2 linked regions of the Lytechinus pictus genome follow. The protein of the gene in region 2 interacts with the protein of the main gene of each other region in a pairwise test. Links are inferred from orthologs where the notes say so. Each region holds a gene or a part of one and is shown on either strand. Other genes may lie near its edges.

Evidence for each region.
Region 1: the proteins of serine/threonine-protein kinase PAK 3-like (region 2) and cytoplasmic protein NCK2-like interact in a two-hybrid assay, tested with the Caenorhabditis elegans proteins (2 studies listed by BioGRID). The link is inferred for Lytechinus pictus from reciprocal best matches to the Caenorhabditis elegans genes pak-1 and nck-1.

Annotation. Positions count from the first base shown.
Region 1 is NC_087260.1:16,432,207-16,435,966, forward strand, and holds the start of cytoplasmic protein NCK2-like, read left to right. Parts: upstream 1-1,227; 5' UTR 1,228-1,234; coding exon 1,235-2,224; intron 2,225-2,762; coding exon 2,763-2,966; 3' UTR 2,967-3,760.
Region 2 is NC_087260.1:19,732,880-19,736,639, forward strand, and holds the start of serine/threonine-protein kinase PAK 3-like, read right to left. Parts: upstream 2,846-3,760; 5' UTR 869-2,845; coding exon 661-868; intron 1-660. UniProt on the Caenorhabditis elegans protein: Required for hypodermal cell fusion, together with cdc-42 and ced-10, leading to embryonic body elongation, which involves dramatic cytoskeletal reorganization.

The DNA.
Region 1 (3,760 bases), about 3.3 Mb from region 2:
ACATTACATTTCCATAATTCTTCTAGTTTTTATATTTTTATTCTCTATGAATGTTTTGTACTGATCAATACATACATGTACATATAGTGATCAATGCATATATCATACATGTGTAAATGTATGTTTGTGTGTGTATTGTGATCAATACACTCTGAGCACACATTGTGTAGCTTCGACTCATTTTAACATTCTATTGGTGTAATCCAAATATGATTAATCCAGTCCACGATCGATTCGAAGATGGTGATGGAATGAATAATAGATGATTTATGAATTATTTTATACTTTGAAATGCCAAGAACAAAAGAGATACAGTGTTGAATTTATTAATTGATTATGGGTTGAAAAGTGTGAACCCATTTTGGTTCAATCAAAATGTGTTGCAGTCCATATGAAAGTAAAATGAAGGATTGGCGTTCATACATGTACAAGAGAGAAAAGGGAGAGAAAGAGAGAGCGGGGGGCGATGGGAATGGGGTTTTGTGTAAAAACAGGAGAAAAGAAAAAAAAATTCATTAAGAGGTATGGCAGAAGGGGCAAACACAATGGAGAAGAATTTGCAGAATTAGTGAACTATGAATGTACAATGTAATGAATTCATTGATTACTACAAAAATAGACTGGTACTTGGAACAACAATTTGGTTATTACATGTAGAAAAAATTACTACATTACAGTTCCTGAAAACCAGGATCCATTTTTTTTCCTTTTCCTCCCTTCCCAAAAATTTGGTTATCTGAAAAAAAGGAAAACAGCTTGTAGATTACATGTACATGTAAACTGCACACGTGACCTTATCAATTTTTTTTCAGTGCATACATGTATTTGAATGCTCTTTATAAAAGCATGTCCATGTATCCCCTGTCCCGAAAGCTCAATATCGACATCATGTACTAGAATTCGATAATGATTATTTTTGTTTTCAATCAGATATCGTGGTTTCTGTTGCTATGAACATATTGGTACTTGATTTTTTTTATGATAAAAGCTCAACCAAGAAACTATTACATGCACATGTAAGTCCTACATGTACATGAATATTTCAAATAAGAATAAATAAGTCAATCCTTATTCAAAACAATCATGTGTCCCGGATATCTTGCAATAAGTGCAGTAAAAAATGTGTAATCATAGTCCAAAGACCGATTTCATGGGATCTTTGATAATGCAAAGCCGAAAGGATATATACAATGTATACAAGGCAAATAATTTGAAGAGATCGTAGATGGTATTAATGTGTTTCTCTATCTTTATTACAGAGATGACGGATGAGGAGGCTGTGTTGGTAGTCGCTAAATGGGACTACGACTCCAAGCAAGAAGAAGAGCTCAGCATCAAACGGAACGAGAAACTCAAGCTGATCGACGATTCCCGATCATGGTGGAGGGTGGAGAAACAGAATGGCAAATGTGGCTATGTCCCTTCGAACTATGTGAAGCGAGACAAACTCGGCCTCGTGGAGAGAATCCGGAAGGGGATCTCTGCAAAGCGTACTGTACAGAAACCGGCATCGCGTCCGATCTCCCCGCCCCACAGCGAAAGCCCACATCCACACCCGGCCCAAACCGGAGGCGAAATGCCATTCTCACAACTCGCAAGGGTCATGTACCACTATAAAGCCGCACAAGGCGACGAACTCAACCTGGTCAAAGGTGAGCAAGTGAACGTTCTGGAGAAGTCCGGGGACGGATGGTGGCGAGGAGAGTGCAATGGACAGAGTGGGTGGTTCCCCTCAAATTATGTGAGCGAGGAGGACACCAATATGCCAAATAGTCACGGTTCCAGCACGAGTTCAAAAGGTGACGACAACTCCATCCCAGATGACTTTGTGTTGGGTGTTACAACTCTGTATGCCTTCAAGGCAAGGACTGAAGAAGAATTAAATTTTGAAAACGGCGAGTCGCTGGACATTATATCGAATCCCTCCGACGATCAGGACTGGTGGAGAGCACGCAACAAGAAAGGTAATACAGGACTAGTTCCGAGCAACTATGTGAAGGTTGTAGAGAATGCGGACCCTGTGTGCCCAACAAATTTTTTTATTGAGGATGCTGTTCCGAAACCCATTGATTTGCCGCAGCACGACAACAACTTTGCTCCGCCCTCTGATAGATTTTACGATAGGGATTGGTTCCATGGAAGAATTACCAGAGGGGATTCAGAGAAGATTCTGAGCTGTCCTGGAGAAAGTGGATTATTCCTCATACGAGAGAGTGAAACAATGGTAAGAACAGGCTACCCTAAAGAAGTGGTTATTTTAATGTCTAAACTGGGTGCGCTCCAAGTTCACTTGGGCACCATACCTTGATAAATACATGCTAGGGCCATTTAATCTCAATGGACTTTGGTATTTATCATGTTATATATTTCTTCAGAAGTTTTAAAGTTGATGTACATGTTTGAGATATATAAGATACATCAACCCTTAATGTCTTTTTGGTTCAGTGCAAAATTTTTAGGACTTTGGTTTGGTTTAGCAATGTAATCTCAAGATTCTATATTATCTCTCAATACAATGTCTCAAGGGATAATCTGCACATTATTAAAGCAAAATTTCAACCTTAGCACTGCCTTAAATCTAATTATCAACAAACAATCATGAAATCAATAAAACTTTTAATTATGAATATAAAACATTCTAAATATTGGTTTAATCATCAGTATCATAGTATGATGTAGGAAGTAGTTGAGAAGGTTGAAATCAAATGATTCCTTGGAAAAACGAAATAAGAACAATTATTATCTTTTATTCATTTTCGCAGCCTGGTGACTTTGCTGTGTCTGTGAAGGCTCCAGATCGAGTGAAGCATTTCAAAGTGACGCGGTCAGATAAGAAGTTCTGTATCGGACAGCGGAAGTTTGAGTCATTAGATGACCTCGTAGACCACTACAAACGCTCACCCATATTCAGCTCAGACGATGGCGAACTCAAGCTGTATTTAACACGGCCGAATCAGAGAAATTAATGTCAAGGGTGATTTCTAATGGACGCTGAAAATACCCCAGCATGAACAGAAGAAAAACTGCCTGGGTGTGCATTAATATCTTTTATTCGCCTGTGAGGGATTACATTTCTTTATTGAGTGAGGAAAGAAAGAGAGAGAGAGAGAGAGGGAGAAAGAGAGTGTGAGAGTACAGTAAAGAATGAATAAACTCTGAGAATGAACTGCATAGGTCCCAACTTGGAGCCTTGTGGGACTCACCGTGCTATGTTGATATACATGTACCAAAGTGAGATTCCAATGTACATGCACATGTGTTTTCAAAGAAACCACATGAAGAATGCTTGAGATGTACATGTAGCTCTTGGACTGTTAGTTATTGACCAGCAAGAGCCTCCTCATTTAGGACATTGTGCTATATGAATCATGATAGGATGAGCTTCATACACAGGCTTTGTGATAGCTGCAAGACTCAACAGACTAGTGAATGAAGTGCTGTTGGGGATCATCGAGCATTAAGAAAAAAAGCATTAATGTCAGTTTTATTTCAGACCTTCAAAGAAACTTATGGAAACCTTTTGTCTACTTTCCAAGTGTTGCTTTTGTCCAAGATCTTCCCCCTAATATTGTTAACTTTCTGGTTTGAATTTAACAAAGTACTTGTACGTAATTGTGTAATCCTACTGAGTAGAAGTGTCCTTTTCTCCTGTTAGTACACTTCACCTTTTCTCAAAGCCATAGAGGTTTTCGTTGTAATGCACCAACATGTACGAACTGGTTTAGTTGGAAAGAGAATGGCCCAAGTGATAACAAATTGA
Region 2 (3,760 bases):
TGCAAAACACCTATCCCCTTATTCTCCTAAATAACTCTCACATTTCTCGCGATTTTTTTTCTGGATGATTTACAACATCATTGAGGAAATTGCTGTCCCTTACAGCATAAAATTTCATTTTTCACTATTAGTTTGAAAATCCTAAAGGCTATATTCCTCCTGCCTCACACAAGGACTACTTTTGCAAAAAGTACCTACAAGTAATGCTGCCCCCACAACATCCCCACTGAAAAAGATACTTTACCAAAAAAAATACAAGAAAATTCATAATGCTTCAGTGTATCACGTTTTGGCACACTTTTCTTCCACCTCACTTCTCTTGAATAATTTCAACCATGCTCAACATATTTTCAAATCAATTACAAGTTGTGTACAAAAAGATAGAAAGCACAGGCTCCAAGAACAGTTCACTCTCAGTGGTAATTGATAAAATGTAAATCCCCTGCCCCCACATATTTGCACCTAAAAATAACAGATGGAAAAACCTTTGTAAGCTGCAAAAAACACCTGCAGTAATTTGCTGTTGGATTCAAAATAAAACAGACTTGAATATATATGACCTGATGTTATTAAATACAAAATAAATTTTAGCGTATGAATGGAAGCCTGGAAAATACCCCCCCCCCACAAAAACATTAATTTTCCCCAAATTGACCCTACCTTTCTCTTCACTCTTTCCTCCTTTAAGTATATTTTTCATCCATTTCGTTCCTTTCTTCTGTTCTTCAGGGGGTGTGTTGGGGAGGGGCTTGGAGCCGGGATTCATGACGTCGAAGCGGGCTTCGCGACTGTTGCTGCTGGAAACTCGAACGGGTGGTGCGGGCGGACTATCGGTATAACTCTGTGGATCCGACCACTGTGAGCTCATTTTTGGCGGACCTACAGTAGAGGGTGGCAGAGAGGAAAACAGAGACGGAGAAATAATGACAAAATGTTTGAAAATAATGACATAATTTCCTGTTTTCGTCTTGGCATGTAATTCCTGGTCTGAATCATTGTGTGCAAAACAAAGCAATGTTGATACACATACACAGCACAGAACGTTACAACCACAGGTTGCCCTTCCGAAGATTTAAAGTGAGTTTGAATGTGTAGGCACAATGTTTATAATTCAAAATACACTGCGCGGTTCCTGTTTCAAACATTAGATTCAAAGATAATATTGATTGAACGATTACATTTCTTTGTGTATGGTACAACAAGCTACATGTAGTTACCATAGCAACAAATTCAGACATTAGGCCAATAATATGATATAAAATTAATGTTCCTTTTTGACATCTTTGCTCACAGGACCTTTCACAATATACATGCAACCAAGCTAAAAACACTATTGAATTTTCATTAATTGTGTTTAGGAAAGGAGAGAGAAAGGTACATAGAAGCATTTCAAATATCAGTAAGGAATAAACATTAAAAATTACAACAACAAAAAAAGAAAAAGAAAATAAAATTTTCATGGACTCTTTTCTCATTTTTACATTTGTAAAAGGGTTTTTCTCACATTTAGATTATACAGGTAATCAACCATATCTTGTTTGATTGTTTAAACAGTTAATTGAGAAATGAATTGATGTGCCAAATAGCTGTACTGCTTTAAGGGGAAAATCTTCTTTTTTTTCTCCTGAATTGAGCTGGCACTTGGATGATATTACATTATGCATAAGGACATCCAATCAGACGGCCTCTCATGAAAGGGTCCTGATCTACATTCTACTGGAATTATTTCCTTTTCAAGCACTTTAGCCTGGTCACAATCTACCATTCACCTGTTATGCCAATAACACTACACAATAAAAACACAAATCATACTATAGTTGAAATGTTCCGTTAAATACAGTAGATTGAGATGTACAGTACATGTACAACATGGTACCCTTTCCCGGAGCCAATGCTATTATATAATTGTCCTTTATTTTAAAATGCACTTTCACAGAAAATCATGCATCCAAAGTTCCAAAACACACATACATGTAGTAATACGAAGGTGAAAAGTACAAAGTAACAAAGAGTTCTTCAAATTTAGTCATGTTGTGGATCTTTGATTTGAAGTCATAATGTTAGTTTCTGATTCTACATGTACATGTAGCTGATGGGCAATTCTATAAAATGATCAATCTTTTTTTGTATGTCAGACCCCCATTTTTCTCAAGTCTTACTTTACTTCATAAAGTGACCAAGTCATTACAGACTGTCAGAAGAACAAGAAATCATAGACAGAAAATTTCATGAAGGTCGTCCTACATATAGGGGGTCGGATGTACATATTTTATGGAATTTCCCTGATATAAAGCTGTCTTGCCAAGTGAAAATCAAAAATATGGAATGATTTCAGCTACATTCAATTTTGATACCCTGCGTTGTCCCTGTTTAAATGCAGTATCCTTGCAGGTAAATCTTTAGTAATTTGTGCACAAGGTAGAATGCATCTACATAGCATGTACATCAACCCAAGTACGCATAGTTGAGTATCCATGCTTACATCATTTTGAAATACGTCATCCTCATATCTTTTAATACAACCATGAACTAGCCACCAATGATCATCTATACATGTAATGCATCTATAATGTGGAGAGTCGTGGCCCAATGGATTAGTCTCCGGACTTTGAAACAGGGTCGTGGGTTCAAATCCCAGCCATGGCGTAATTTCCTTCAGCAAGGAATTCATCCAGTGTGCTGCACTCGACCCAGGTGAGGTAAATGGTTACCGGCAGGAAGTAATTCCTCAAAAAGCTGTGTGCACCTGATAGGTAGCCTAGCTTAGCCGGGTAATAATAATAGCAGGGCCCGCTGGGAGAACAGTTTTCGGAACTGAAGTGGCTACCCTGGGTAAATATACCGTTATTATCATTATTATGCATTAATTTTAATCAAAAATTTAATAATTATAAATATTCCTATTGTTAGAATTTCATTTTTAAATATGAAATTAAAAAGCTAGTGGGTTTTATAACAATGTGCAAGAATCATACATGAAAGGGGATGTTTAACATAAGGAAACTTTATTGTAAAAATATCAGAAAAATAATTTTTATATAATGAAGAAAATACGTCAATGATTAAGAAAGTTATTGGAGTTTCAAGTTTTTAATTTGTGACATCATATACGAGCAGCTGCCCCATATGTTATTTTTAATAGTTCATGATGAGGAGCGGATGTGAAATAATTTGTTGATATACTGAAGGCACAAAACACAGTTTTAATTTTTTTTAGAAAATGAAATTTCATTGATTTTTTACGACATTATATATAGGGAGGCTGCTTGCATATGACCTTGCAAATAAATCTTAAAAATATTCAAATAAGGATTTGAGGAATATCCTCAAACATTCAATAATGTGTATTATTTTTTCTGCTATAATACAATTAAACTTTTTATCAGGGTGAACTTCCCCTTTAACTATAAAGACAAGACTTGAAAGTGTTTAGTTAATGGTTTCTGCTTTTGTTAATACAGCACTAGGCAGTTCAAATAATGCTCTCATTATAAGATTCAGTTGCATTAAGTGGTGATTTATTTGAATGTACATTTCATGTCATATGATCTACAAGTAGTTCCATACATTATGAAGGGAGATACATTGTAGATCTATATCAAACACATAGGTTGGAATACAAACACATAGGTTGGAATACAAAATGGCAGATATTTCAATCTCTAATAAGTACTGAATTCTCCATGTACACTGGTGAAGGCAAGGAAAGCTTTTCTATGTGAAAAAATTGTAACAATGTATAATAACATCAAAGTCTTTA